Caenorhabditis elegans: one gene and its partner. The protein of the gene in region 1 purifies or fractionates together with the protein of each later gene. This does not show direct contact. Each region holds a gene or a part of one and is shown in the gene's direction. Other genes may lie near its edges.

Region 1 (16,323 bases):
CAAAGAATACAATTACCTTTCTGTTTCGGGGTTTCTCTCAAACTAACCTCCTGTCTGCACAGCCTTTTGAATGGCGGTGTAAAATCAATTTCAACAGATCTATACTTGATCAAAAATGATCTTTTGATCGAGTAAACCAAAGTAGTGATAAGTTCCTCTACCAGATCTTGGAAATCGTTTAAGTTAATATTGCACATTGAGATTTCTGCAGTTAACACCAACGGTTGTCGTTGAGAATTCCATTTGAAGACTCGTTCAATTCCTTGAGTGACTAGCATTCTGTTATAGAGTTCAGTCATTTTGCTGTATACATAATCAATGTTAATAGACTGTCTTTTGTTAAATGATTCCAAAGCGATCGGATTCATTATCACGCGATTGGTTTCCAGGAAGAGCAATTGATAAAGGTATTTCAGTGTTTCAATATGGAGTTTGCTGACAATCAAGGCATGTTCTCTGGCTTCATCGGTATTATTCAATTCTTCCAGATTCGGGAAATCAGCTTCGATTTCTTCAGCTTTGAATGAATCTCTCACTTGTTCGAGATTATTGCTTTTAGTCAATCTAGAAATAAAAATAATTGAATACACAGAAGACAGGATAAAGTGGGAAACAAACCCTTCAGCAGTCACTCGATACGATTCCTTCGTTGTTTACAATTCTTCCAAATCTAAATGAAAACCATTAGAAGAGAACTCTGATTTTTGTCTCACTGCTCGTAATAACGTTGTGCTTCAAACGCTTGGCCATCGAGAATTGCGTATTCGCGGTAAATGTGTTTCATTTTTGTACGGCCATTTTGATCTCTCAGTCGTTCCAAAAGGAATCTGATCAATTTTAGGTTGTCTTCCTTTGAAATTGTCATTTCGGGACTGAAAAAAATTGTGATCTTCCAAAGTGGAAACAATATCAATCCTGAGACTGAAAAAAACGTTCAAAAATAATATTACCGACACAAGAGACGTCAACGACGACAGAGTAGATGTTGTTGTGGACGATATAATCAAGAAATGACTAAAATACAACAGTTCATTTACGCATCGACTTCATAATGATGTGATGTTCACGTCGAGTATATATTAGTTTAAAAAATTGATTAAATATTTTATTAATATTATTTTTATTTGATACGTTTATTTGAACGTGAAAATAATTACTTACTTAGGATACTTAGTCGATCCGTTCTTCGCCTGCGGCGCGGATCGCAGCTTTCCAAGCTTTTCGGTCCTTTGCTTGGGTGGACCAAAGTTGTTTGACTTGTCCGAAGGCGTCTCGCGTAGTGACTTCTTTTCTTAAAGAGTCATTCCATCTCATCGGTGGGCGTCCAACGGGTCGTTGATCGTCTCGGGGGCACCAATCGTTCATCAGAGTTTATCCGTTCGTCTCGCCACGTGTCCAGCCCATCCAAGTTTTTTCTTTTTTATGTGTATTTAATCGAGTTCAGAGCTGGCTGGGGTTTGTATCATTTATTGATATTAAATGAAAAGGATAGAGCCATCAGATAGGTGATGGCTTATATACAATATGAAGTAGGCGGAGAATCAATAAGATAAGTAAAAATGACGGGGGATAGGAATGCAATTATAATTGAATGGTGCAAAAGATAACAAAACAACATTAATAATGTGAGGATTGCGAGTGAGTCACGGGGCAAAGAGTACGATCGCGTACAGTATTAGTGGATCTCTGAGTTTTGACTTTTCTCGAACTTCTCTGACTCTGGCCGTTCACCAAATATAGTGACTCTGGCCGTTCACCAATTATAGTGACTCTGGCCGTTCACCAATTATAGTGACTCTGGCCGTTCACCAAATATAGTGACTCTGGCCGTTCACCAATTATAGTGACTCTGGCCGTTCACCAAATATAGTGACTCTGGCCGTTCACCAAATATAGTGACTCTGGCCGTTCACCAAATATAGTGACTCTGGCCGTTCACCAATTATAGTGACTCTGGCCGTTCACCAATTATAGTGACTCTGGCCGTTCACCAATTATAGTGACTCTGGCCGTTCACCAATTATAGTGACTCTGGCCGTTCACCAAATATAGTGACTCTGGCCGTTCACCAATTATAGTGACTCTGGCCGTTCACCAATTATAGTGACTCTGGAAAACATTATTGGAATAATATTAATTTCAGGTTGCATATGATACCCCAGAATCTGCAATCTTCATGTTGAAGGCCGTGGTCAAGCAGTATAATGCATAGAACTTTCTCATTTTCTTTATTTATAAATGTATTATTTTTCTCTGTATGATTTCAACCAATGTAAGCTGGACGTCTTCTCTTTTTATTAACCATTATTATCCGTTCACAAAACATGAGCGTGCACAAAAATGATTGCAAACTTTCTGAACCGAAAACAGTAAACAATTGAGAGATGATTAAAATTAAATGAAAAGGTAAGTTTGGACGGGGATGAGAAGACATCGTGGACTGATGTATGAATGAAGGGAGAAGTTTATGAGACTGTTGGAGAAAGGGAAAAAAAGGATGAATGACTTATCGTGGATAAAACGACAAATCGAGAAGGAAGAAAATGTGGTAAAAAATGAGGAAAAAGAGGAAAGAAAATTGGAATGCGTGCCTTTTTTGGGGGAAGAAACGAGTGCGATTCCTCCGATTTTTTTTCTTGATTTTTTCAGAGTTTTTGGCTTTTTTTTATACAAAGCAAATGTAATTCTCTGAAAACTCAGAGATAGATAGTAACAGAGAAGCAAAATAGTAAATACAAGTAGATTAAATGATTCCGAGAAGAGCGATGGTATGTGAAGTCAAAGAAAAAACAATGAAGCTGCCAATTTGGCTCATATAAATAAATTTTTTCATGAAAAAAACAGAAGGAAACATAAGACAAAAAAAGTGAAGTAGAAGGCATATACTTGATGAAGAAAAAACAAGAAAATAATGAAATGGAGGATCATATAGTTTCAATAAAGAAAACATATACTGAGGAAGACAAAGTTAAAAACCAAAAGAAATGCATATTGGTACTTGGATGATTATCTTATGCAAATACGAAGAGAAAACGAACAAATAAATGGTGATAAATTCTCTAAAGTGAAGCGATCTGATAACTATTATCAATGATATATTACAAATGTGAGAGAATAAAAGAACCGCGTGAAAAAGTGTGTAAAACTTTTGGTTTGAAGACAGTAGACACCTGAAAAGATGGTATAATTTTAAAACGTCTTTGTAAATCGATGTATGGATAATTATGGAAGCTGATTTCAAAATAGCGATCTTTGAAATTTACTGAAAAATCTCGGCTCGTGTAGCTTTATCCAGCTGTTTTTACAATATTTGAATTTTCCAACTTTTTTTGCAAACTTAATTTTTGGTTGTTTTTTTGAAATTTGGGTTTTAGGTACCATGGGAGTTGTTCTTAACAATTTCCTCAATGTTTACTTTTTTAAACTTTAAACTTTGAATACTGTTAGTGAGATCAAAATTTTATCAATGCAGTTGAAATTGCTTTTTCGCTCATTTCTAGTTTATTTTTCCAAAATTATTTTTAAGAATTAACCAACATGTTGAGGTTCTCCAACTGCGGAAATTGCCTTGTGGAAAACTTAAAACACGGAAATTTCAGAACTTTTCGATTACAGTCCACCTCTGATTCCGATTACCAATTTTTTAAATTTCTTTTAATTGAGAATCATAACGTACCCATTATTAAACACTTTGTGGAACCTCCATTTTCTGTTCACTGGCTTCCAAACCATTTGATGTATTCAATCCATTATCAGCTTGCAAATCAACTATTTCTTGAACAACTTTTGTTCTTTGTTCAACCACAACATTCGAAACTTCAACAACCATTGAAACTCTATTCTCTTCTAATGTATCATCACGTGTTTTCTTTTTTGGTACAGATTCATCAGAAATTTGTGAAGTTACAGTAGTTGATGATTCTTCATCCATACTACGTTTTCTTGATAATGGAGTACCATTTGTTGTTGAATCAGGTTCATTCGTGGCAGAAACTGATGCAGATAGTGGTGTTTTTGGAGCAGCAAGTCCAGTTGGAGTAGTTGGTACAGAGCTAGTACTTGTAGTTCGCACAACACTTCGGGGTGTAGAACTGCTGACGGAAGTATTCGTAGCAATTGGAACAACTTTCTTCCAGCGACGGCCACGGCGAAGATCAGCAGCACTAATCACTTGAATCAGACTGTTTCTCTTTACATAGAACATATCAATCTGAAATTATTAAATAATTATTGCAAAATTTTTTGTTGAAAATCTGAAAGCTAATTTTTTTGAGAAATATGTTTTTTTCGAAATGATATTTCAATATTCATGTTTAATTTTAGCACGACATTTTGAAAAATAGCATTTTTTTTTAAATGAAAACGCAAGTTTTCAGAGAAAATCGAAATTTTCGTTAATTTTTAATTTGTCGAAAATCGAATATCGTAAAGCCAAGAAGAAAAGTGGACATGCACGGAAAAAACAAGAAAGCTATAGATTTATCAAAAAAAAAAAGTTGATTTTGATATGAGATATTGAGAATTGGCCATATAGAAAAAAATTTTCTCAACGAAAAACGAAAATGTTAGATGTTTCGATAGTTTCAATAATAAATTTTTTTTTTAATAATAAATATAGTTACTTCATCTTACAGGAAATTTTTGAACACTTTTTCAGTTGTTTTAAAATAAAATAAGGGTTATTTCAGATAAAGCAAAAATGTTTCCATATTTTTAAATTACTTTTTAATGAACTTTTTTCACTATTTCTTATGAAATTGCACGGCATTTCTGGTTGTAATACAGAAATGTCGATATTTCTATTAATCTTTAATATTTCAGAACAAAACACTCACCTGCACTTGACAATTTGGTCCAATACCCTTCACATTACTCGCTTGTAGTTCGACATTTGTTTTGAATCGTTGAATTTCATTTGTCAAATCAAGAGTTTTAGCATGTTCCGCGAATTCAAGACCAATAAACCATACAGTAACCCTCTTGTTTTCTGGATTTACATCAAACTTTGCATTTGGAGATGGTTTATGCTTATTCGGGTCGTTGTGGGCTATTATAATATCTTGATTACGTTCAAGGCTTTGCACAAGAAGACGGATACGTGATTCAAGGAAACCACCGTAGTTTAATTCTTCTTCCTCGTTAGGAGCAGCCATGATAAGAGCTGAAAATACACAAATTCATTTTGAAATGTGATAAAAATGAAAACTTACCAATAAAATGCTTATATCTGCTGAAAAAGTTGACTTCTTCAAATAAAGCAGTCCATTTCGATTTTCCTTCACTGATATCTCGACAAATTTCAAGGGCTTCGCATATTTCGTTCTTTATAACAGTGGCGGTGGATCGAGTCACATTATGAGTCGAATTCTGTTCTGGGAATGCTGGAGTAATAATTGGCATTACGTGGAATCTATCTGTATTTTTTCGTCGAGGATCCCAAACCAACTCGCACAGTGTCGGAATATCGTTTCTGTCGTTGTTCATTTCATTTAGTACTACTGGATGAGGCCAAGTCCACGTTGAGAAAATGAAGAACATTCTATGAACAAGTCTTGATGGACTTGCATTTGGATATAACTGACAAGCTCGAGCAACGAGAATCGCCCATGTGATGCCTCCAAAAAATCCCATCGAATTGGAATAAATTCCGTGATTTTTTGCCCATAGTTTGATGGCTCGTAGAGTTACACAGAATTCTTTTTGACGTGGAACCAGTTTCAACAGTTGCTCAGCGACTCTGCATCCATTTAGTGATCTAACACTTTCTTGGTCCAAATTCCTGAGAAGGTTGTCATCAGAAAGCTCTTGGGTATCAGGTACTTCTTTCAAAGCAAGTCGAGCAAAGAGAATATCAAGCTCAACACCAGAATATTTAAGTTTCATAACTGGAACGAAAGCTTCTTCAACACCATGCAATTCTGTCACATTTGGATCGTTATTGAGCATCTCTTTGAATGATGTGAAAAAGTCTGATCGATCGATATGACGTGGTACAACAGCAAGTGTGTCAATATCAGCACCAGAACTGTGAACTCCAAGACGATATGATCCAAAAGTAAAAAGTTTTCCACCCGCATTCACACCCTCTCCATTCGGGATCTGAAAATTGAGGTTTTAGTTTAAAATTAGAAATTTGTTAATATATATTCCTTTATCAACACGTATTTCAATTAAACAACGAATTTAATGTCAAATTTAATTTTTAAAAATTTTCCACAACTAAACAGTAAAAATAAAAGTATTTTTGAAATTTCTTCTAGAAAACTGAGTTTTGTCAATGAGCCAACATTAATTATTTTCAATTATTATATCCAGTCGTTGGATGATTTTCATAAATATTGTATAAACAAAAACCTATTTCAGATCATACTTTTAAAATTTAAATATTTCAACAAAAAACGAACCTTCATGGCAGTTACATTCTTAACCCATTCTTTGACTAGACGATTCAAATTACGAAGTACTTCCATTCTTTGTTCTGTTTCTTCTTTTGGTTCATAGCTTCCAAACTTTTTCAATGTTTCTATCAATAAAGTCGTCTGTGCAATGTCTTTTGAATCTGGATGGGCTAGCGAAATGGGTTGAGAAACACCCAAAAGTGGAGTTTTGTCCTTTTCGGTCGCCGACATTGTTATTATTCTGAAAAGTCTTAATGTTGAAGAGTTTGCTGTACAATTTGAAATATTTACCAAGACATGCAATTACCCAAATTTCGGATTCCTCCTTTATTATCCTTACTAACGATTTGAACACGATAAAATCGCGCTGAAAATAAAAAAAACCTTTTAGACGAAAAGATTTTTAAAATTTCGAAATTCGAAAAACAACGAAAAATGAAGGCAAAACTGAGAAGAAATGAAAAATAGAAAAATTATTCGATATGAACGAGATCCGTGGGAATGAAAAATAATTTCAGAGAGCAGTGAGTTTTATCACGTTTTTACCACCAAATATTGAAAGGGTCCACGAGGTATAGAAGGAAAAGAAAAAGAGAAACAGACGAATGCCGAGCGACGAGAGAGTACAGATGAGCATGAGATATCAGACAGTTAGGGGAACGAGAGAACGACAGGGAAGGTCTCTTTCAATCGATGGTGCAGTCAGCCTCACACATGACGAATTCGTCGTCAAGACATCGAGATGGAAGCCTTTTTCAGAAATGAAAGTGAATGGAAAGAGGATAGAGAAAATGCAAAACGCTCGTTAGAGACAATGAAAATTTCTCCAATGAGAAAAAAGTAGAAAACGTTCCAAGAATACCCTTTTTGCATCACGTGTTCAAAATTTTGATTAAAACAATACACAAGAATCAATGCACTTATATGGGAGTTTTCAATTTAAATTTTGAATTAGGAATCAAGTAATTATAGTTCTAGAACCAAATTCCATAAAAATTAAGCAATAAAATTATATTCTGCAATTGTCTAGGAGGAGTACACGGTTGTCGGATTCTAGGCCGCGGCCATAAAACTTGAAAACCGTATACGGTACCGTAACCACGATGAAGATTTAAATAAATTGTCTTGGGCGTCTACAAATGAAGCAATGAAATTAACTTTATAAAAAAGAGTATGAACAAAATTATAAATAGAATGATATTATGATATTATGATTTTATTGAAGATGTACTGTGGAAAACTGTGTTTTTAAAAACAATTATTATATGAAACAAACTGATTGTATTAACATGATAATTATAGATACGATTTGACTCCGAGAACAGAAGATACTTTCAGAGTCTGAAAGATGAGAATAATTAGTGATAAAAAATTATAAAATTACATTTGAGAACAGTCACTTGGAATTCATTGATATGAACTTCTTGATAGTGTTTTGACGTTCCTTCTGAAATCATATTTAGTAATATTTAGAAAACGTGAATTTTTAGAAACTAGAGCAATTGAATTTCAATTTCGATACGAGTTTATTTTGGTTTTATAAAAACAGTGAATGGCGTCGTCTTCAGATTTCAAACAATTAAAACAAACTAGAACAAAATCTGAAGAAACTACAAGATCAGCATCAAACGAAACAGTAAATGATGATAATAGAAGCACTACTACAGAGGAAATAATACCAATAAAGGTAAAATATATACATTTTCTGATCAAAAATCTTTTTGTTTTCTACAGAAAACTTCAAATGCTACTGCCATCTCTAACATTGGATTCAAAAGCGTGACAAATCTAGCTCTGGAGAATATTGGGTTGGATACAAAAATGGAAGGACCCACGTGGACTTCAAAATGGGAAGCTATCACTGCCACACTTTCGTTCGTTACATGTTCTGGAAATATTTGGTTTTTCCCGTATCTCTGTGGATATTACGGTGGATGGTTTCCATATCAATTCACATTTTGTTATGTATTCATCGCTGTTCCACTTCTTTATCTTGAAACAGCTCTTGGACAATATGCTTCTGCTTCTCCACTATCAGTTTTCTCAAGAATGGCTCCCGCCATGGCAGGATTATCTGCAGGAATGTGCTTCATAATGGTTTTCAGGTATTTATCTGAACCTAACTTCTCATTTTTTCAAAATCCTCAATTCAGAACAATCAGTCTATCTGTCTGGGCAATTTACGATCTTACTATTTTTACACATGCTTCCCAATCAATCTGGTCAACATCTCCATGGGAGAGCTGCCAGGAAAGTCAATCTGGGGATTACTGTGTCAATTACAAGCTATCGTCGAAATGTACATGGATTCAACCGGGATCGGATAAAGAATGTGATGAATATCAAGAAATGTTAATTGCCACCCGTGGTTTTCAACAGAGAAAATCTCCATTTATGAGCTTTGTTCATGGGTTGATGTACAAGGTTGTATAACTTGACTGTATGATATTCATTTCGAAGCAACTTTCAGAGAAGCATAACAATGAATGATTGGGAGCCGCCAAGTGTTACATCTATTATATGTGCAGTTTGTCTATGGATAATTATTGGTATAATTTCCATTGGAGGATCAAAAGTTCTTGGTAGAACCGGTATCGTAGCTCTTACACTTTTATTGGTGGGAACTATAATGCTTCTTTCGTATGGAATGTCTTTGAATGATACTACAAACGTATTTACTGCATTCTTTTATCAAAGTGAAGGTTACGAGGATAAATGGATGTGGGTGTGGTCATGGGCAGATGCTGCAGCACATGCACTTAGAGCATTGAAGTAGGTGTGAATCATGAATTTCAGAAAAATAAAGTATTTGTTTCTAGTGTTGGATGTGGCGGAATCCAGAAATTTGCCTCATTGAACAACTTTCACAACAAAATACATCGAGATGTTCTACTTATTAGCATTGTTTCTTTTGTATTTTACATATGCACTGGATTACTTTCGTTCATGTTCATGGCTGAAATAGGAAGATTATATTACCCAGACTTGGAAGCTAGTGAAAGAATTCAACTATACGCTACACCGGTAATGATTGAAAGTGTAATCTCCGAGGTATATTAAAATAGTTCAATCTATAATAATCAGAAAAGTTATTTAGATATTAACAAATTCTTCAATGGGAAGCATTTGGGTGTTTCTATTCTGGCTAACACTTGCAGCATGCTCAATCCAGGGAATTTCTAGTTATATTTGGGTAGAAATGAAGCCACAAAAACGTCCACAATATCTAAGTTTAGGTTATAAGTTCTATGATTGTGGAAAGATTAAACGGAAGTCGGCGAAAATATGGAAAAGCTCTTGCGAGTTGGCATAAGAGAGCTATCATTTTAGCAATTATGAGTGTCACAGGTCTTATTTCTAGTTTACCATTTTTGGGTAACGGAGGAATTAATCTAATGAGTAGTATCGAAACATTTGCTTCATATGGCACTATATTTATTGCTTTTGTTGAAGTAATAACGGTATCTTATGTGTATGGATTCAAGAGATTTTCCGTGTAAGTTCGAAAAATGTGAATCTTTTTTAGAGAGTTTACCTATTCACAATAATTTGAAACAAAAAGTTTTTAGTCCAAAAAATTATTTCAGAAACATAAGAGCAATGATTGGGGGACACGGACCTCCTAACGTCTTCTGGTGGCTTAACTGGCTTGTAATCAGTCCTATTCTACTCATTGTAACTTTTGGATGTATCGTTGCAACATTCGGCCAAAAAAAAGCATTTAATGAAAATTCTATTGTGTCTGATCCAATAGGATATTCTCTTCTCGTCATGCCATGCATCTTTGTGATTTTATACTTTTTGAGAGATGAGTATGATCGAAGAAAAAATATGGAACCTTTTGTGGTAAGAATATATCTTAAAAACTACTTATGGAATAATTTAGGTGATGATAAGAGCAACTGGTGACTGGGGACCAATGAATCCGGAAGACAGACGAAATGCTGTGAAATTTGAAAGACAGCTCAGAGTTAGATATTGATAATGAATTATTCTACTTTTATAAAAAAATATTTTTTCTCTGACTAACCTCGTGAATGCAAACATTGTGTGGTTGATAAGGATGAGCGCATTGAATGACCTTGCTAGAGTAATTCGAATCGTAGTCATGTGGAAGTGTAAGCTGAAACAGAGTCTTATAATATATTTTTTAATCAAAGAAGGGTCTCACCTCTTCCCCCATTAGGATATTTCTCTGAGCAGATATAAATAATTGCATTCTTTGATTATGAATCACGTATCGAATCATGCAGTTGGATTCACAGTTTCGTCGAATAGCTTTCAGTTCATCAGTTGAATCAGCTAAATCGATGCACATATCATACTTTTCATATGCGGTATTCTTTTGAATATCTTCATCGTCTGAATAATATGAAGCATGCGGCCTGAAACCTAAAACTATTAACTTCTATAAATATATCCTCAACTGATAGACGGGCTTGTTGACGCCATTCATTGCCTCATTGGCGCGAATCTTTCTTCTCGATTGAAATTCCCGAGTATTTCTCTTTCTTTTTCTGGATTTTATATCTGAAAATATCGTATTCTTTTAATTAATTATATACAATTCAATTACCGATAACTTGGAAGAACGAAAAGTCATTTTGTAGCCCATTAAACAGTATAATATTTGGACGAAGGACTCCCATCTCATCTCGGCCGCATTCTTCAGGAGACGAAAGCTTCACTGGGACTGGAGCAATGATAAACTCGCCTTCAAGAATGTCACGAGTGGCAAAAAGACCTGTAAAATTATTTTATTCGGAAGTGTCGCACATTTAGAATTGATGTACCTTTTTTAAGCGTGTTTGGGAAGCAATGAAGGTTGAGTGGAAGAATCATAACCTGTGTACACGGGCGTTCTTTGCATTTCTGGTTCGCCAAAGTGATAATCTGTAAACGAAGGCTTGTAGGCAGGAAAACGAAAATTAAACACTTTTTTAGCTGAACCAGAATCTTGGAAGTGTCGCAGCAGCCGTCTAATTTTATGCGAAACTTTCGTGATACACATTTCTTCGAGTCGATTCTGTAATATAGGGGTTTAATAAACAACGAACAAATTTTTTCTCACATTATCCACTACAACAGCTTTTAATGTGTTTTCATTAAAATCTTCTTCAGTGAGCAGATGAATTGTTGTCAGAACGAGTGAGTCAGAAAAGCCTGAAAGGAACGGTAGTAAAAAGTTTTAAAAGTATTTAAATATCTTACTCTCATTATTTTCATTTTCTTGATTCAGATTATCGTTATTTTGTTGAGAACCATCTCGGACAGGAGATTCCGCTTCGTCCATGGACGGATCCAGTTTTGGCCGTTTGATCCTGTTCTCCATTACAGAAGTATTCCTGTCATTTAAATTTTTCACAAAATAAAATTAAATCGATTTAAATCTGCAGATTAACAAATGAAAAACAGCTGAAAACAAATCCGAAAAATATTTAATTTCAAAGATGTTCAAACACTGTGACGCAAAACTGCACAGAATTGTATACCGTAACCCGGCAGAAATAAAAAGAAATGGAATACTATATATTGAATGTGTCCATTTCATTAATCCATTAGTCCATAATCTATTAATATTATTTTTTTGAGTTTATGGCTATTTAAAATTCACCAAGGAAACAAAACATATTAAGCCGAAACATTGATTCATTGCTTTCAGGGTACTGTAGAATTATCTTAATGGTGCATACAATAATTTTGATAGGTCTTGTCACGATGCTACAAGTTCCGAGTCTACATATTGCTGTGTAATGTTGTCAGTCAACTGGCCAGGCATTATTAGGGAAACACTAAATTCTGAGAATGCGTAATACTGAACATATTTGACGCGCAAAGTATGTCGTAGCGAAAACGACAGTAATTCTTTAAATGACTAATGTAACGCTAGTGTCCATTTACGGGCTCGATTATTGAAACTAATTTATGTTCGAATTGTGGCAGCGAAATTTAATTTTCGTTAGTTTTTTGTATTGTTTGTTATTTGTGTGTTATCGATCAATAAATGATTTCCGTAAATCGACACCAGCGCTACAGTAGTCATTTAAATAGTTACTGTAGTTTTCGCTACGAGATATTTTTGCTCGTCAAATATGTTGCGCAATGCAATACGCATTTTCAGAATTTAGTGTTCCCGTAAATCATTTTTCCAATGGGAACTTTCCACAATAACTGGTTTGACATCGACCTAGTGCACTTTTCAAAATCAATTTGCACTTATTACATTTGACTACCTCATTCGTTTTTTTTGACCGATTTGATGAGCGGTACTGAAAATGTATTAATACACTTTTAAAATTTATCTGCGCAGTGTGGGAAAACTCATTTTCCAAGGTCTTATCGTTTGCAACTTATCCATTTTTGTCCAATATTTGCTGTTAGTACGTTCTTGAAAATACCATGGAAAACCGGAAACAACTGAACACTTTATTATATTTTAATTTTTATCAAACCATATTCTTAACAGTTCTGTGCATCGATGATCATGTTTTTAGAAAGTGTTTTCGTTCAAAACTTTCCCACCCATTCATATTATAGATGTCATCATAATAGTTTGCCCAACTTGTACAATATACTATTGTGTCGAAATCATTTTTCTTTGAAAGTTATCTTTTGGATATTTTCAGGTTTTCAGGTTTTCCACATTTAAAACACTCGTACTCGAAAACGTATCCATCATTTTTTGTTCACTAAGATTTTTGAATTCTCAAGAGACATTGTTGGAAAGGAGTTGAGAAACACGCAAAGAGCATCACATTTCCATTTGAATATAGTCATCTAGAAAATATCAATGTTCCTGTTTCAGTCATCAGAAACGAATTAATGACGCCCTTTCTCCACGAATTTTATAAGAATTACATTGATAATCAGATTCTCTCTATTTTCTTGATGACAATTTAAATTAATAAACTTCGAACTACCCAGCACAGAAGCATTGAGTTACAACACACTCTGTACTGACGTTGCAGGTTTACTGATAACGGATTATACGTGGAATTGGTTAGGCATTTTTGTCAGAGTCTTTCACTTTTTAACCATTTTTCCTTCTAAACTTCCAAAAGGTAATACCATCAATTAGTAAGACACCACCATAATTTCTAACCAAGTTTTGTTCCAGTTGTGTTGCGAGAGATCTTTTCTTAAATGCTTCGTGTGGTATTGGAATCATACTATTCTTAATGCCTTGTAGACTAAACAAATAGGTCAATAAATTCAATACAAACGTTCTATTGGATCTATGACTATCAACAAAAATAATTTATGACGATTCATTTTAATTCAATAAAAAGTTTCTACGATGAAATTCCAATAAACAAGGTTAGCTATCAAATAACATATTTTAAACATATTTTTCCTTTTTTAATATCAAACAAGAGATACAATTTTTCTGGTAGTTTCTGACATTTAATTTTAAAGTTCATAACCATATTACGTAACAAGGTCATTTTACTTTGTGTTGTTTTTAAATGACATCTCATGATTTCTAACTATTACAGAGACCAAAATGTTTCATGATGATTGATTAAACTCTTATCTTAATGAGATGTTGGTTGAATCTTCATTTGTTTTTACATCATTGTCATGACTCATAATTGAGAATAGTTTTAATTAATTTTTTTTTGAGTCTGTTGCCAATTTATGACTTTAAAAAATTCCTGCTAAAAATAAATCCTTACTTTTTTTAAACAATTTGCAATTTTATTCCGGAGAATTCTTTTGCCGAACTCATTTTGATTGCCGAACTCATTTTGAAAAAATTGTGATCACTCAAATTTAGAACATTTCGGAAATACTACTGAAAATATCGTTCATTTCTCATCGTTTCAGAATTAAATAGATATTTAATTTAAAACTCTGTGATTGAAATAATAATTTTTAGGATTTTTTAAATTGAAAACATTTTCCAAATAAAAAAGAAACCGATTCCGATTGACGGGAGTCTTTAAAAATTTTATCAAAACTAGAGTAGATGTAACATAACGTTTCGAAACAGTGAGCAATCATTGCAAATTTTTGTTTCGAAAAAAATATGTCGTTGAGAACTGTGTTCAGTAAATAATTAAATTTATTTATTGCAAGCTCTCAATGATGTCACTGAAAAGAAGAGATTCTTATAAAACTGAGAATCGTCATGACTCTAATTTCTTTCCTCATTGAGCATCTCTTTTTCACCCGAAGGACCTCTCGTAAAGGGTTCACATATTTTTACGTGAACCAGACAAAAAAGATACACTTACACTAAATCCCTTATTTCTCTTTATTTCTTTCTTATTTTCATTTTTAACCCGTTTTTCAATTTTCTCATGCACCCACTACGTCGCTTCGGTAAGCCATGAAAAAAGTGAAGACATGGAATTTTTCGTCTGACCAACGAAAGCTCCAACTGATAAGACATCAGAATAAAAGCCTGATTGACGAACTATCTTTATCACTTTCAGTTGCAAATTTTCATTTCTCCCCCTCTCACGACTTGTAACTAGAGAAAAATGTGAAAAAAGCAAGAAGAATGGAACAAGATAAAAAGAAGTGTACCCCATTCTACTTTTTTTGAAGTTGAATGGTATCTTTATTCACACACATTTTATTTCAAATACACACCCACTACCTTCAGTAGTTTTGTTGTTTTGTTGTTGAGACCAGAGCTCACAATAGATAACAATAAACCACATTTTCTCACATGTTTTATAGACTTTAAAGACAATATTTACCTATTCTGATTCATCAATTTATATTGAATTTTCAGGTTAATTTGGCCAATCAGGATGTCTTTTTCCTTGTCTAGAGAGAATTACGCTTTTGAAGATTCTTGTAGGAAGTAAGTTCGATGTATCAATGAAAATATAAATGTATACATTTATAGATCTACAAGAACTTCATCATGTTCCCGCAGAGACAGCTGGAATGGTGAAACTCGATCATCTTCTCACTGTGATGTTGATATGTCAAAGCCTTTCTTTAATCCAGCTGGTTAGTTCATTTCAAATTAATTACTGAAAAGTGTGTGAAAAAAAGGGTTTTCAAAGTGGAGCATTGGGGTTACAAGACTAACAGAAGAATTTAAAGTCAAGAAAAGATCAATTTTCAATATTTCCCAACTTCTTGTACTACAGTTAGCAATAAACGCTTTTTTTTGTCAATTTCGTAGTTTTCCAATAAGTTAATTAATCTTAAACTTTAGAGTCTATCAGTACAATGGAATTTGCTTTATAAAATTTTAAATCTAAACATTTTAATAAGATTTGCTCTCACTGTTCGGCAGGTTATAAAATAGTTTTAAATTGAACAAATTGCTCTAAATCATACTTTTCAGGTTTAAACTGGTTTGTAACTGGTCTATTCGTGGTTGGAGATCTTGCTGGTGGAGGTATTGTTGCATTGCCAACTGCCATTATTCAAGCAGGTAAGGCTTTTTATTTTAGAGGTTTTCTTTCTTCTCACCATTTTCACTATCTTAAACACACAAACATAAAATCGTCAAATGAAATAAACGATGTAATCTCTTTTCTTAATAAAAAACGAAGCATCACTAGCGATAGGCATATGCTGTCAATAACGGTTCCGGCTCCTTTGAAAACTCTGATCACGTTGCGAGTTTCTTATCAGTGAACAGAAAAAAGGACAAATAAAAATGTTAAAGTCTTTATAAGAACGCGGCTTAAACAAAAAAGGTCACCTAAAATTTCATGGAATACAAGAAAACATGTATTGAAAAAATCTAATTTTATCATTACAACGTATGGGAATGTCAATTTGACTTCAAATTCTTAATTTCAGAATTCTGGACCGGTCTGATAGTATGTGTCATTCTCATTGGAGTTGTCACCTATACTGCTTACGTTCTTGGGCTCAGTTGGAATATTCTGTTGAGCACATGGCCAGAATATAGACATCATTGCAGAAAACCGTATCCAGAAATTGGTGGAAG
Region 2 (15,509 bases), on another chromosome or scaffold:
AAGTTTTCAAGCAACAAGTTATCCGAAATGAAAGGTGGAGGCGGTGGAAGAGGCGGATACGGAAGAAGTGACTCGCGAGACTCTCGTGGTGGATACCGTGGCGGCCGTTCCGACTCGAGAGACTTTCGTGGTGTCTATGGAAACCGAGGTGGCAACGACAGGTACCGAGATGAAAGCAGAGGACGTCGCGACATGTACGATTCCCGTCGAGACAGTGGTTCTTCAAATGGAGCGGACTACTCTCCGAGTGATGCTGCTGAGTTGGAACACGCTTTTGGCGAAAGAGGAAACACGAAGCGATGCATTGAAGAAGCACTCAAAGGATTGGACGTGGAATGCACTCACTTGAAGGGTAACCTTATTCGCGTATCCTCGATTGCCGAGAACAATGCTGAGAAGTAAGTTATTCGATAGTTATCATCAGCGTGATAACAATTTGTTTTGTAGCACTTCGTTCATGATGAAGGACGACAAGGGAGAACGCGAGGTCACCGTGGCGGAATATTTCCTGTTGCAGTACAACATCAAGCTGAAATATCCGAGACTTCCTCTCGTCGTCTCAAAAAGATTCAAACATGAATCTTTCTTCCCAATGGAGTTGCTTCGAATTGCTCCAGGCCAGCGGATCAAGGTCAACAAGATGAGCCCGACAGTACAATCGGCGATGACAGGAAGAAATGCGTCTATGCCACAGCATCATGTGAAGTTGGTTCAAGATATTCTCCGCGACAACTTGAAGCTTGAACAAAATAAGTACATGGATGCTTTCGGAATCAAACTGATGTCGACTGAGCCAATCCAAATGACTGCGAAGCTCCTCCCACCAGCTCAAATCAAGTTCAAGGGCCAGACTTACATGCCTGACATGAGCCGTCCAGCGTTCCGCACACAGGACAAGTTTGTCGAACCAGCACGGATCAGAAAAATTGGTATTGTTGTCTTTGACAACTGTATCCAAATGAGACAGGCCGAGTAAGTCGAACGTTGTTTTCTTCTGCTTTATAATATTCTATTTTCAGAGATTTCTGCGACAAGCTGTCCAATTTCTGTCGTGACAATGGAATCACGGTCGAAAAGGACTCGCGAGATTGGTCCATCCGTGAATTGAACTCCAGTGATTCCGTTGCTATCCAAAATCTGATGAAGAAATGGCTCGATGATAGAGTGGACATTCTTGTTGGAATAGCAAGGGAGAAGAAGCCGGATGTTCACGACATACTCAAATACTTTGAGGAATCGATTGGCCTGCAAACAATCCAATTGTGTCAACAGACTGTCGATAAAATGATGGGAGGTCAAGGTGGACGCCAAACGATTGACAACGTCATGAGAAAGTTCAACCTCAAGTGTGGTGGAACCAACTTCTTCGTCGAGATCCCGAATGCTGTGCGTGGAAAAGCAGTGTGCTCAAACAATGAAACATTGAGAAAGAAACTTCTCGAACATGTACAATTCATCGGATTCGAGATTTCTCATGGCGCATCACGCACTTTGTTCGATCGCAGTAGATCACAAATGGATGGTGAGCCATCAGTTGTTGGAGTCTCGTATTCCCTGACCAACTCGACGCAGCTCGGAGGCTTCACATACCTTCAAACCCAAAAGGAGTACAAACTTCAAAAACTTGATGAATTCTTCCCAAAGTGTGTCAGATCGTACAAGGAGCATTCGAAGACACTCCCAACAAGAATCGTCATCTATCGTGTTGGTGCTGGAGAAGGAAACTTCAATCGTGTTAAGGAAGAAGTCGAAGAGATGCGACGAACATTTGACAAGATTCAGCCCGGATACCGTCCACATCTCGTGGTGATCATCGCACAAAGAGCTTCACATGCTCGCGTTTTTCCATCATGTATCAGTGGCAACAGAGCGACGGATCAGAACATCCCATCTGGAACATGTGTCGAGAATGTCCTGACATCCTACGGATACGACGAGTTCATTTTGTCTTCACAGACGCCGCTTATTGTAAGTTGTTCATTAGTTAATTTATTAAATGAAAGTTTCTTTTAGGGTACCGTTCGTCCGTGCAAGTACACGATCCTTGTCAATGATGCCAAATGGTCTAAAAACGAGCTCATGCACTTGACGTACTTCCGCGCATTCGGTCATCAAGTGTCCTACCAGCCACCATCGGTTCCAGATGTTCTTTATGCGGCAGAAAATCTGGCTAAACGAGGACGCAACAATTACAAAATTCATCAGTAATAGTTTATTTTCCTAAAAATCTTTATCAAAAACAAATGTTTCCAGGCGTTACGTGAATTTGCAAGCAGTTGAGAACCGCATCATCAAAGACCATTCGGAACTCATCAACGAAGACATGCGAGAAGAACTGGCGGCAGCCATTGTTGATGAGATGTCCGTTGCAATGAACGGAATGACCATTCCGAAGCGAAACTTCTGGGCGTAATCCCGAGATTCTCTCTTTTATTGTCACGTATTCACCCCCTTTACATATTACCAACATTTTTTATCCACTACCCTATACCTACTCTCTATACAAGTACTTAAATTCCCATGCTTTTGTTTTTCTGAACATTCTTTATTACATTTTTCCCCATAATTGTATCGTATTCCCCTTTATGTTTTTATAATTTCAACTAAGAATCCTTTTGTAATTTAATCTAGAGTAGAGTACATTGACACATAGTTTGAATAGTAGATACTCCTGTTTTACCTGCCTTTTTTTCTGTGCGAATTTCCTCCAACTTTCTTATTAGGAGTTTTCGAAGGCGAAAGAAACTTCCAATTAGAACGTTTTTGGAAATTTCGATTTTCAATAATCTTACTTGCTCTACCCCCCGTCCATTATCATTTATTAAGCAATAAATTATTCGAGAAGAAATTTTAGTTTTCGCTGAAAGCAGTTTGATCGCGATCATTTTTCCGATTTTTGCATAATCACAAAACAAAACTTTTTTAAAATTAAATAGCTTGCAATTTTGACCAGTAAATGTGAAAGTAAACTTTGTTGTAAATTGTTAAGTATGTTGAACAATTGTAAAGGAAAACATGATTTACGCAGAATATTACATTGCACGTTATAAAAAAAAGAATCGACACATTAATAAATACAGAAGAGTATCATTGAATTTTAACACACAGTTAGGCGTCTAGCGAATCGGACTACGTTGGCGTTGACGATGATCGAAACGGTCTCCCTGCTCCCGGTTATTGAAACGACGTCCTTGACTTGGCAAGGAAATCGCGACGTCGACGAAATCACCGACTTCGAATTTGCATTGTTGTAGCTGAAAAACAAAGTTCAATCAAAACGAATTTAATATTGGAGATATTATTTCCGAATTCAAATAAAATTCTAATGGTTCCGTGGTGTCAAAAATCACATACAGTTTTGTTGTCATCAATGCCACGCTCTCCATTCGTCGTGTTTCCCACATCGCGTAGAATGTATCTTGGCGAGCCGCGGTCTGCCTGCACAATAGCGAAATCGAATGTGGTGCCCTTTCTTCTAGCGTCCGGATTCACTTCTTTGATTAGACTGGTCAATTCACGCAGAGAACAGTCCATCCTGAAAATAAAAAAAATACTTCAGGTTAACCAAACTTACAAGTTTGAATGTATTATTGAAAATATTAGACAAAAGTTCTATAATTTCGGCCAAATAGTACTAATTTTTCTATTTCTACCGCGTACCAAGTATGCATTTGAAGTTCGCTGGGTGGAACAGATCCTCCATTTCTACTATTGTACTCGCTCATCGGATTATGACGATTATTAGCAACGAAGACGCGAAGAAGCATCGGACATACTTTCTCACGATCTAATGGTTTATCGTGACCAACTGTCACCTGAGACACGAGTTGACCGTTGCTCATTTTTCTGAAAAAAAAAGATAAATTTGCTCTAAAAAGGGATAATATAAAATATATTTGTTTGGTTATACAGAAAAAAGAGAAAAAAGAAGCAAAACGCCAAAATTTGCATTCGAATGTTTGTGGGCGGAGCGTTCTTTGCAACCCTGGCACACAAGATTTGCAGATATGCCGCGCGCAGATGACATTCTCCTATTTTATTTCGATTTTCACCGCAAATCTTTCTCCGACATTTCCTTGTCGCAAAGTTAACCAACTCAACTATTTTTATCAATTATTGAATTTAAAGTGTTTTTTTCGTTCAATTTTTAAAATTGGTCACTTTCCACGCGGGAGTCCGCTTTACCTTCTCGAAAAATCAATAACGTTTTCCAAAATAATTTCTATTTTTTCAGGCCATAGAATGGGCCAACATGGGGCAATTAGGCTGCAGAATGAAGTTCAGGAAGGAATGGTAAGTATTTATTGATTTTAAAATAGTTTAATTAAAAGTAAAATGATTTCTATTATAAATTTTTATTTTCAGCCCCCTCCACACGAGCTAACAGAAGAAGAACAATGGGCAGAGGAGCACCGAAAAATGCACGAAAAGCATAAAGGACACGAAGCGATGCACATGGAAATGATGGTTATTTTCATGATTTCTGTCATCGTTGGACAGATTTTTCTGGTCACCTGGAAGAGGAAGCATTTTAAATCTTATCAGGTATTTAATTTTATTAATTTTAAACATTTATTTAATATTCAAACATTTACAGATGTGTACATTAATAGGAATGCTCACAATTCCAGTTTATGTTTGTTTCAACCGATCCTGGTATCGATTCCTGGCCACGTGGCTTGTTTTCTGCATTTTTTCAGCTTTTATTTGGTTGAAAGCCTCGGCTCAACATATCAGTGGAGGAACACCAAGGTTTTTAAGAATAAAAAAGACGAATTAAACGAAATAATTTAAGATTCGTCTACAAATGGTTTCTATTTTTGCATAAACTGAGTTATGTACTCGGAGTTGTTGGATATTTGATCATGATGGGAGCTTTATTAGGATTTCATGTTTTATTCGGAGTTTCACAGCCAACACTAATGGATGCCGGTGAGAAATTTTGGAAAAATTTTGAAAAAATCTAATTTTCAAGCTTCCAGGCATCCTTTTCATGTTCTATGGTGTGTATTACGGAGTGCTCGGCCGGGATTTTGCTCACATTTGCACGGCGAGAATGGCGTCGAGAATCGGGGTAAAATACATTTTTCACCTGCTGCCGAAAAATAATCAATATAATTCCAATTTTTCAGTATTACACTCCTGAAGGACTTCCTAAAAAGCATCTAGAAGACGGTGTCTGTGCTGTTTGTGGAGGACGTCTTGATGATTCGGAACATGTTCATGATGCAGATGCTGTGGTTACAACGAAAATGGTTGAAGATGAAGATGAAAAATTGTATAAGTGAGTGGAGAAGTTCAGCAGATTTTTGGAATTTTCACTTTTTTTAATTAAAAAAAAGAATTAATAAGTAGTTTTCCAGTTTTCTTCGAGAATCACCAGAAAGCACCAAATTTTTAAAAACTGATATTATGAAGCTTTTGAACGAATTTTCATCGATTTTTCCACAGTTTTTCGTGAAATTTTTTATTTGATAATTAAAAATTCAAATATACGAATAAAAGTTACACAGAAAAATAAAATCAAGACCTCCGAGAAATTTTTTTTTGCGTTGGCACGGTGCCAGGTCCGGAAAACGTAGATCCGGAATTCCACCAGATCTTGAATCCGTGGTGCCTCAATAAATAAAATTTGATTAACATTTTTTTGTTGAAAAATTGACGAAAATCCGGTGCACCAGAAATTTAAAATTTACAGTACTCTTTAAAGGCGCGCACCCTTTTGCATTTAACAAAGTAAATCGACACATGAGGCTAGAAAGCTCTTGTTAAACTTAAAATCAATAATTTCAGACTCTCATGTGGCCACGTTTTTCACGAATTCTGTATCAGAGGATGGGTAGTTGTTGGAAAACTTCAAACATGCCCGTATTGCAAAGAACGTGTCGATTTACAGAGAATGTTTAAAAATCCGTTAGTTTTTTGAAAAAATCAAATTTAATTATAAATTCTTTAAAAATTTTCAATTTCAGATGGGAGAAACCTCATTTATTCTATGGAAAATTGCTTGACTGGATCCGTTATCTCGTCTGCTGGCAGCCATTGATTGTAACAGCTGTTCAAGGACTCACCACATGGATGGGATTGGAATAGGAATCTTTTTATTTTAATTTTTACTTATTTATTTTTATTTAATAATTTCTAACTGCATCCCAAAGTTATCAAATAGTCACAAATACACACAAAAATTGTCATTCCAATTGCATTTTTATTCTCGTTTTTTCATTTTTTCTCGTTACTTCTTTTTTGCCGGGCACCGGGTGATTTTTCTGATTTCTTTGAAAAAAAAATTACGACTTTATTTATTCTTCCTGTTTAATTTTTATTTCCAATTCCCGTTCACAGCGGTGTTTTATATCTGAAACTGTATCCTTTGGATTCTTTTAATTGGAAAAATAAAATAAAAAAGTTTTTAGATGGCATCAAAACGGCATGTAGGATTAAATATTCGGAAAAAAGATGAACCGAAAGCTGCTCCAATTCGAGTTTCCAGTGTTTTTGGAGACGATGATGATGATGATAATGTGGTAAAATTCAGAGAAGTTTGAAAAATTTAGTGTAGGAGAAAAAGTTTTCAAACAACAAAGAAATGACCGAAAATTATCAAAAATAATTTTTTCCTACTAGCAATTTTAAACATTTTTAGTTTTTGACTATTTTTCGATTTAGAAAAGCTTTTATAAATTTCTGAATTATAAATTTCTTACTTTTCAGCCAGCCACAGCTACCAATATGGCATCAGCTTCAGTTATTCGTGTGCAAAAAGCAGCAGAACGAGAACATCAAAAGGCAGAAGCCGAGGATCCGACGATTTTCGATTATGACGGGAATTACGATGAAATTCAGGCGATTAAGAATGAAAAAGTGAGGGCTCGAAAAGTTGAAAATCGAAAAAAAAAATACTAAAAATAAAACGAAAAAGTGTAGATTTTAAAACCATTAACAAAGAATTTTCGATAAGAAAATATGAAAAAAAAATTTTCAACAAATAAAACAATTTATATAATAAGTTTCCACTAACAATTTTGATATTTTTTTAAATCTAAAAAATGGACAAGAATAAACGAACATTTTCGATTTTTCGGGTTTTTAGAGAATCGAAAATTTTTCGTTAAAAAAGAAAAAAAAACACATCTTTAACCAAAAATGGTTTGTTTCAGAAGTTTCAGTATTTTTAGGCTGAAAAATTCAACTAACAGCTTTGTTTTTGCAGAAAGAAGAAGCTCGAAAAGCGGACAAAAATCGTGAATCGAAATACGCGGAGAACATCATTAAAGCCCATGCTCGTCGCCAACTCGAACAATTTTCTCGTGAAGAACGCCAACAACTCAGAGAACGAGAGAAAGAAGGCGATGAATTTGATGATAAAGAAGTTTTTGTAACTGGAGCATACCGTAAGCAACAGGAAGAAGTGAAGAAACATCGGGAACAAGAAGCTGAAGAAGCTGCTTTTAATGATATGACAAGTGTTCAGAAACAGAAATTATGGGAAATTGGTATGGGAAGGACGCTTTTAAACGATTTGGCAAGAGATCCTACAGCTATTAAACAGAGGAAGAAAGAGCAGAAAAATGTGAGAAAACGGGAAGATTCTGATGAAGAAATTGATCCGAAACCGGAAAAATCGGATAAGAAACCAGCCGAAAAGCTTAAAAAATCAATTTATTCCGATGATTCTGACGAGGAAAAAGCACCAAAACCTCCACAAAAAAATTTCGAAGGAGATCTTAAACCTGGCCTGAATACGGTATCAAAAAAAAAAGCAACGACTCACGCAGAGAGAATCCGTCAGCGAAACTACACTCCAACACCTCCATCTTCAGATGATGAAGGTGCAAGAGCTCCACGAGCTCGGAGAAGGACTTCAAGCCCGTCACCAACTTCAAGGAAGTCCATAGAATCGAGAGAATCAGGGAGTAGAAGATCGCCTGAAGGGAAATCTGAAAAATCTGAAAAAGCGCCGAAAATCTCGCTTAAAGATAAGCTGAAGCCGAAGAAAATCGATAAAGAAGCAAGATTAGACGGACTCAAAGAAATTCTGAAGCAGCGGAATACAGAAGAAGATATTGAGGCAGCGAGGCAAAGATATTTCGAGAGAAAGGAGCAAGGAATTGTTGTACCTCCATTGTAAAATTTAATTTTTATTTATTTTTTCTTTGTTTGTTTTTTTCAATTGCTGGTTAAAATTCCAATCTCCCAATTTTCCAATTCCAGACCTAATGAAATATCCAATTTCAATTTCCAATGTTCATTTTTTAAAAACTTCTATGGTTATCTCTACCATTTTTATATATTTTAATACGTGATTTCAGAGAGAATTAAATAAGGAATTTCAGAGTTCGGAGCCAATGGCGTCGGAGACGAAAGCTCCATCCGAGGAGCCCACGAGCTCCAGTAATAAAGATGAATCTGCGAGGTAAATTTAGAAAAAAATCGATGTTTTAATCGTTAGACATAACAAATGACCGGAAATTAAAAAAACGAATTTTTATTGATTAATTTTTTTTGAGAAATCTAAAATTACATATTTTCTGTTTTTTTTTTTTAATTATTTTTCCGAATAATTTCTCTATTTTTGCTGTAAATTTTCAAAAAACGGCAGTTTATCTAAATACTTTTACGACACTTTAAAACATCCGAAAAACTACGAATTAACCAGAAATGTTTTGATTTTAATGAGAACAGATTCAAAGATAACCGAAAATTATTTTTAAAAAAGGAGTTTTCCGGAAAATCAACAAGAAACCGAAATACGAGAAAAAAAATCCGACAGAAAATATTACAGTTATTTTCAAAAATTTCAAAAAAAGTAGGAAAAACGAAAATGGCCTAAGTTTTGAATTTACAAGCAGTATGTCTTCAAAAAAAAGTTATCAAAACTAATAATTTTCCCGAAAAATTGACAAAAAAATCGAAGAATTTTAAAAACTGACTCTTTTCAAATTTTTCGTATTTTCACCGTTTCTAAAAATACAAGTTTCCAGAATTTCCAAAATTTAATAATCGTAATTTTGCAGATTTGAATGTAATATTTGTTTGGACGCAGCAAAAGATGCAGTCGTTTCCCTATGTGGACATCTTTTTTGTTGGCCATGTCTGAGTCAATGGCTTGATACTCGTCCAAATAATCAAGTTTGTCCAGTGTGTAAAAGTGCAATTGATGGGAATAAAGTTGTACCGATCTATGGAAGAGGTGGCGATTCATCGGATCCACGTAAAAAAGTTCCACCACGTCCAAAAGGACAACGAAGTGAACCACCACCGGTATGCACTACTCATGCACTGATTAACACTTCTGAACTACTTAAAAAAAGACATTATGCTATTTTTTTCAATTTTCTCATCATCATCATCAAATTTTACTTTTTTTTAAATGAAAAAAAGAAGAAAAATTTCACATGATTATAACAAAAAGACCGGTTTTATTGGAAAGTGTTTTCTATAATTTTAACCGAATTTTTCTTAAATGTTCGGCAAATATAGTTTTATCGGAAATTAATGTCTCTTTCAAACACATAATTTCTTTTTTAAATAAATAATAAAAAGAGAAAAAAGAAAACAATTGCTAAAGGAAATTTTTAAGCCAAAAACACGATAAAAAGCCAAGTGTTTTTAAACATAAATTTTTCAAAAAAAAAAAAAAAATTTTCGAACTTTTTAGAAAGCTGACAAAATGTTTGCTTTTTGCACAATTTTTCTTTAAGAAAAAATAACCAATTTATAATTTATTAAAAAATCTAAATAAATACCAAAATAATCCCAAAAAGCGCATAACACACACACACCCAAAAACTAACAAAATCTCGAAAACCCTCTTTCAGCAATCATTTGCCGGTTTCAATTGGGGTGGCGATGGCGGAATGATGGGCGGCGGCGGACCAAATGTGCATTTTTCATTTGGAATTGGTACGGTGAATGGTCTGTTCCCGTTGATGTTCATGCTACCTTTCATTCAAGGCATCTTCCCATTGTCATTTGTTGCTTCATTCTTTGGAAATGGTAATCAAGGAGCAGCAGCAGCTGGTGGTGGAAATGGTGGAGGAAATGACGGAAATGATGGTACACATGCACATACTCATGGACATACACATGGTAATTAGAGTTTTAGGGAAAATTCCAGATTTTTCGATTATTTTTGAAGAAAAATCAGAAAAATCCAAGAAAAAAGTTTTTTTTCTATTAAAGAATTAAAAAAAAAGAACTTATTTAAATTTGTTTTTTTGATTTTTACATTTTTTAAATAGGAAAATTCTAAAATTCTGAAAAAATTTACTAAAAAAATACGAGGAAACTGTAAAAAATAAAAAATTTAATAATTAAAAAAACTAGAATTTCTGAAAAATTCTGAAATTTTGCCAGATTTGATAACATTAGAAAAAAAAACTTTGTTAGAAAAATTTCAGAAAATAAAAACAAACAAAAAATGTATAAACATTTGGAAAACTCTAACTCTATAATTTTAACCAGAAAAGCAAAAATTTTCGATTTTTCTCTGAAAAAAAACCGAAAATTTTCAGGACCCCGTGGACACGGAGAATCAGCTGCACCGGGATCAAGAATGGCTCAAGAAGAGGAATATTTGTCGAATATTTTCAAATATATTGGATTTTTTATGCTTTTCTGGCTTCTATTCGTCTAAAAATCCCATTTTTTCTGCTTTTTTTACTAAAAAAATCCGACATTCCTCATATTCTTTTCACCTGTATTTTCTAACAATTTGTATAATTATTAGTTTTTTTCCGCATCCGATCCAGAAAATATTCCATTTTTTGTATTATAAAAACAAAAAAAATTTCCCTAATATAATATTTTATTAATCCTTTCTTTTCTCTCAATCTGTGTTACTTTTCCTCGTCGATTCTATCCACATTTCCTGGTTTTTTCTCGTATAAAACGATTAGTTTCCCACTTTTTTCTGGATTTTTTGAGCAAAATGTTGGTTTTCAAAACCACTTTTGAATATCTGAATTCTTTTGTATAGATTTTAATTTTAGATTTTTGAATTTCCAGATGGTTTTCTTCTCGTGCAACAACTGCGGTGAAGCTTGCAAGAAAAATCAGGTAAATTCGTTTTTTTTTTTGAAAAAATTAGCAAAAAGTTTAATTAAAAAATAAGTAATTAGTTTAAAAAATTTCCTTTTCAAAAAAAAATCTATAAATTTAGATTTCCCAATTTTTCGAAAAATCGTTAAAAAAATGTTCTGAAGTTTTCTTTTTTTTCCGAAAAAATTTCCAAATTTTGAAATTGTAAATAAAGGAAACAGAAAAATTATTATTTTTTCGAGTTTTCCAAAAACTTGAAAAATCAAAGAAAAATTGCAAGCGAATTCCAATAATTCTTGAATATTTTTTTCAAAAAAATAAATCGGAAAACCCATAATTTTGTTCAATAATTTCAAAAAAAAAAGTTTTTAATTCAGCTGAGACACTACGAATAAGTGAATAATTGACTATATAAATGTCAAATACATTAGCGAAAATAGTCAAAAATAAATGCATTTTGTCAAAAAATGCACACTTATCCTCATGGAGTAAATACACGATCTGCGTAAATCGACACATCCATGCAAAGTTTTTTTCAGGTCGAACGTCATCTCTTCCAATGCCGTAATACTACTTTCAGCTGTATTGATTGTCAACTTGTCTACACGTAAGCTTCTGGCGTTAAAACATATTTCAGAAAAATAATTAAAAATTAAATTTCAGATTAATCTTGATGATTTTCAGAAAAAACCTTTAAAATTTTTTTTTTTTTTTGATTTTTTTCAGAAAAAAAATTGTAGGTTTCTAGATATTTTTCCTAGAAAATCGGAATTTTTTAAATAGATTTTTCGTAATTTTTTTGGAGAAAATCGAAGAAAAACAACGAAAAACTAATTTTTATTAATTTTTTCCATTTTTCGTTTTTTAATTGAAAAATCTATGCCATTGTCTGGCACTAAATTTTAAAAATTAATTAATTTTTTTTTCAGCCGTGAAACATACAAAGATCATGTAAAATGCATCACTGAAAATCAGAAATACGGAGGAAAAAACTACGTTGAAAAAGAGAATAAAGGAGAAGCGAAACAAAATGCGTGGGTTGATCAAGTGAATCGTGCCATCGAATTTGTCACCGATTCACAAGTGAAAGAACTGCTGAAAAGTGTTGCTGGATTTGCGAATATTCCAAGAAAAGAGGCGAAATTCATCAATTTCCTGACCAACTCGTGTCGGCTCCGTGATAAGAATCTTGCTCTGAGAGCTTGGCAAGCAATTGCCGCAGAAGCTGATAAAATGAGAGAGGAAGCGATTCGAAAGCAGGAGGAGACGCAGAAAATGGAAAAGGTAGATTTTACGCTCAAATTTCCTAATTTGTGTCGATCTACGGAGCTCGTGTACTCCCCGTGGAGGATACGATGATCTTTTAGAAACTGTTTTGACCATTTTCACCAATTTTTTGGTATTTAAAATTTAAATCGTTGTTTTTATTGTAGAAAATTCGATAATTCTGAAGAAAACATTCAAATGGATTTTTTTGAAAAATTGTTTTTTTTGTAAAGAATATTTTTTATTTTAAAAAATCTGGAAAGGACCACAAAGTATCGAACAAAATTAAATATTTTCCGAAAAAAACAATTTTAGTAAAAAAAAATGTTTTGAGAAATTGGAATTTCCAACAAAAAACGACTTTAAAAATTTATTTACGAATAATTCAAAAAAAAAAAATTAAAAATCAAGAAATGGAAGAAAAGCTAAAAATTGGTCCAAAATAGAGTATTTTAGCCAAAAAAAAAACCTGTTCAAAAGTACAATGAACTCACACAATTTCACCGGGAGAGCCACATTTCTCATGAAACACCATTTTCCAGGCTCAAAAAGAAGCCGCCGCAGCAGCAAAGAAGGAAACAACTGTTGCAACGACAGCAGCAGAAGTCACAGATGCTCCAGAATCTACATTCAAATGGAAGAAGGTTATCAAGCGGAAGTTGAAGGAAAATGGAGGAGAAATGAAGATTAAGAAGTTGAAAAAAGCCATTATTGAAGAGCTCTCCGCAGCCGGAGCAGCAAGTGATGACGTGGATTCGATTTTCGACGAAAAACTTCAGAAATGTGCGGCGGTTACTGTAGATGGGAAGAAAGTTTCGTTGGTTGTATGAATCCATTTTTTGTTTTTTCGTTGATTTTATCCCCTTTTTTCATTTTGTTGTTATTGTTGAATTGAATTGAAAAAAAAAACACTTTTTTGATCAAATCCCTTTATTCAAGCTTATCATTCACTCAAACAAAAACACCGACTTTCCAGATTCTGTATTCGAAGGTACATTTGCAGTTGCCATTCCAACCCACCGCTTTGAAAGAAATTTTGAATAATTTTTTTTAAATTCATTTTTATTGACACTGATAGAAGTATCCCACAGCAATACAAGAATTAAGATATAGTTCCAGTTGTATTTCAGCATTTATGAGGCATTCCGTCTGGAAATTTCTGAGAAATCAAGTTTTCAAAAAATACAATTACTCACCGTGAAATCACCCAGATCAAAGTTTTCCGCATGAATATTATTGAAAATTAGCAAATCTTGGAGTTGTTGAAGTTTCTGGAAAATAAAAAACAAAAAATCAAAACATTTTCAGATTTTTCAGAACCTTCAGCTGATCATCCGAAACCACGGGAATTGGCAAACCACTGTGAACACTTTGAATTTTCAGTAATTGGAATGTATTTACTATTGCCTGAAAATTCAACGATTAAAGGAGCACGAGAGTTTCTTGAAGGGTCTCGCCACGATCTATAGAGATTCACAATAAACGTAACGCTTTCAATATCGTGCGGAGACCCATGAAAAACCCTTTTTTTATGACCGCCAACGTAAGAAAACTCGGCCACCAATTTTCTTACAGTTTGACTCACCAAAACTTCATATTTCACTTGACACACTATTTTATATTGATAACAGTTCATAATCAGATGAATCACAAAAATTGAAAATTAAAAGCCAACCGGCTCTCATTTATTTATGCGAAAATTATGGAAATTCTAGGCAACACATTTGATTATTCTTCCACGATTATCGACGACGTGGCCGCTGGAGATTGAAAATTCGGCCAAAAACATGTCATGCATTTTTTTCGAAAATTCATTCCACAAAACTCTAAAAATTTTGTTTCAAATAATGTTTAAGGCCACGTGGTCCTAAATAATGACAGAAGAAGAACATAGGCCAGACCAGGAAAAACTAAAAACTCGGGCAGGTGGCACACACATATAATTGGGTAAACAATGTGATGATTTTGAAATCCTTAATTTAAAAAATTTTTGAACTTAAATGATATTATCTTGAAAGTGTGTAATACACTGTATCTTACGACAAAATGCACAGAAGGAAATTGTTACTTTCGTGGCGAGACCCTTCGCATTTTGCAACAAAAAACGTATAATATTATAATATCACATAATGTTTTTATTGCATCGCAGAATTTTTTCTACGGAATCATAAAAATTTAATATTTTATAGTTTTTTTTAAAAAACAGTTTTTCAATAAATCATTCAACTTTTTTTGCAATTTCTGAAAGCTCATTTTATAATCTTTAATCCAACTATTTTCACAACAAAATCCAATTCAATAAAGTCTATTAAACGACTAAAAAGCAAAAAAAAAGATTTTCCACTTGCCGCCCGCCCTCTGCGGCAAGAGATGGAATGAGCTCATAACGACTGTAATAATGGTGTCCTTCAAATTTATTTTAAATGTTCATTTGGCATTTTCAATTTTATTCGATAGCTCCCGAGACGCCCCATTTTTTGTGTATAGTGTTTGAATTCGTAAATTTTTCGTTTTCTTTTCTTATCTGAGTTAGTTAAAATTGCGCGTAAAATAATGTGTATTTACATATTTTTTCTGGTTGTGCGGTTCTACGGATAATGATGTTTTAATTTTTTGTTTTTTTTTGGAAATTTAAACAGAATTATAGAGAAATATTCGTACTTTCCAAAAATACCTTTTTTTTCTAATTTAAAGTTTTGAGAAGTTGCTCAAAAACAGCTCCAAACTCGCAATGTGCCGATGGACAGATCGATATTTGAAACGGTTTTTGAGTAAATTTTCGGAATTTTCAATTAAAAGTAAACATATTTTTGGATATTTCCATTCAAATTATCGATTGTAAATGTCGACACAACAATGAGAAATACATGTTTTTATAAAATGTTCCAAATTTCCTGATCCAAACAAAACAGACTACAGTAACCTTGAAGACGCATATCCAAAACAGTGTTACATTGGCTAGGAGCCCCGGTTCAATTTCCTAAAATTTAATATCCTCCTCAGCCACTATTCTTTTCTATGTCTCTCAAATACTTTCTCGAATTTCACTAATTATGCCTGAATGAGCATCGAGATTAACATGGGTGTGTGCATTTAGAGATAATGCTCACGACGTTTCTATGGTTTCTACCTACTCTTCCTTCCCTTTTCACCCAATAAACATACACATATTATTGTTCTATTTCAGTTTAGAATTTCAA

What was found.
Region 2: the proteins of snf-10 (region 1) and ccdc-55 fractionate together in Caenorhabditis elegans (co-fractionation; one large-scale study listed by BioGRID). This does not show direct contact.

Annotation. Positions count from the first base shown.
Region 1 is NC_003283.11:10,432,423-10,448,745, reverse strand, and holds snf-10 (Transporter), read left to right. Parts: upstream 1-7,922; 5' UTR 7,923-7,950; coding exon 7,951-8,085; intron 8,086-8,132; coding exon 8,133-8,503; intron 8,504-8,551; coding exon 8,552-8,822; intron 8,823-8,868; coding exon 8,869-9,170; intron 9,171-9,217; coding exon 9,218-9,449; intron 9,450-9,495; coding exon 9,496-9,591; intron 9,592-9,634; coding exon 9,635-9,894; intron 9,895-9,985; coding exon 9,986-10,244; intron 10,245-10,284; coding exon 10,285-10,380; 3' UTR 10,381-10,416; downstream 10,417-16,323. Other genes in the region: Y32F6A.5 (Retinoid-inducible serine carboxypeptidase), read left to right, coding at 2,144-2,212; pap-1 (Poly(A) polymerase), read right to left, coding at 3,683-4,210, 4,836-5,161, 5,211-6,099, 6,405-6,629; set-22 (SET domain-containing protein), read right to left, coding at 7,795-7,845, 10,429-10,521, 10,570-10,783, 10,826-10,928, 10,975-11,142, 11,192-11,291, 11,335-11,424, 11,470-11,561 and 1 more; Y32F6A.4 (Amino acid transporter transmembrane domain-containing protein), read left to right, coding at 15,161-15,213, 15,259-15,365, 15,709-15,798, 16,173-16,323.
Region 2 is NC_003281.10:4,159,673-4,175,181, reverse strand, and holds ccdc-55 (Nuclear speckle splicing regulatory protein 1 homolog), read left to right. Parts: upstream 1-6,416; coding exon 6,417-6,527; intron 6,528-6,714; coding exon 6,715-6,864; intron 6,865-7,213; coding exon 7,214-8,131; 3' UTR 8,132-8,234; downstream 8,235-15,509. Other genes in the region: Argonaute protein hrde-1, read left to right, coding at 1-398, 448-972, 1,020-1,968, 2,014-2,204, 2,254-2,413; C16C10.4 (putative histone deacetylase complex subunit SAP18), read right to left, coding at 3,117-3,254, 3,355-3,535, 3,661-3,842; E3 ubiquitin ligase rnf-121, read left to right, coding at 4,243-4,293, 4,366-4,545, 4,598-4,752, 4,796-4,932, 4,983-5,074, 5,133-5,284, 5,794-5,913, 5,973-6,093; E3 ubiquitin ligase rnf-5, read left to right, coding at 8,349-8,416, 9,018-9,264, 9,822-10,092, 10,518-10,639; C16C10.8 (LYAR-type C2HC zinc finger protein), read left to right, coding at 11,011-11,061, 11,583-11,650, 11,973-12,327, 12,852-13,139; C01G12.16 (RAP domain-containing protein), read right to left, coding at 13,372-13,458, 13,506-13,580, 13,630-13,716, 13,895-13,945. UniProt on the Caenorhabditis elegans protein: Required for the cessation of distal tip cell migration at the end of larval morphogenesis.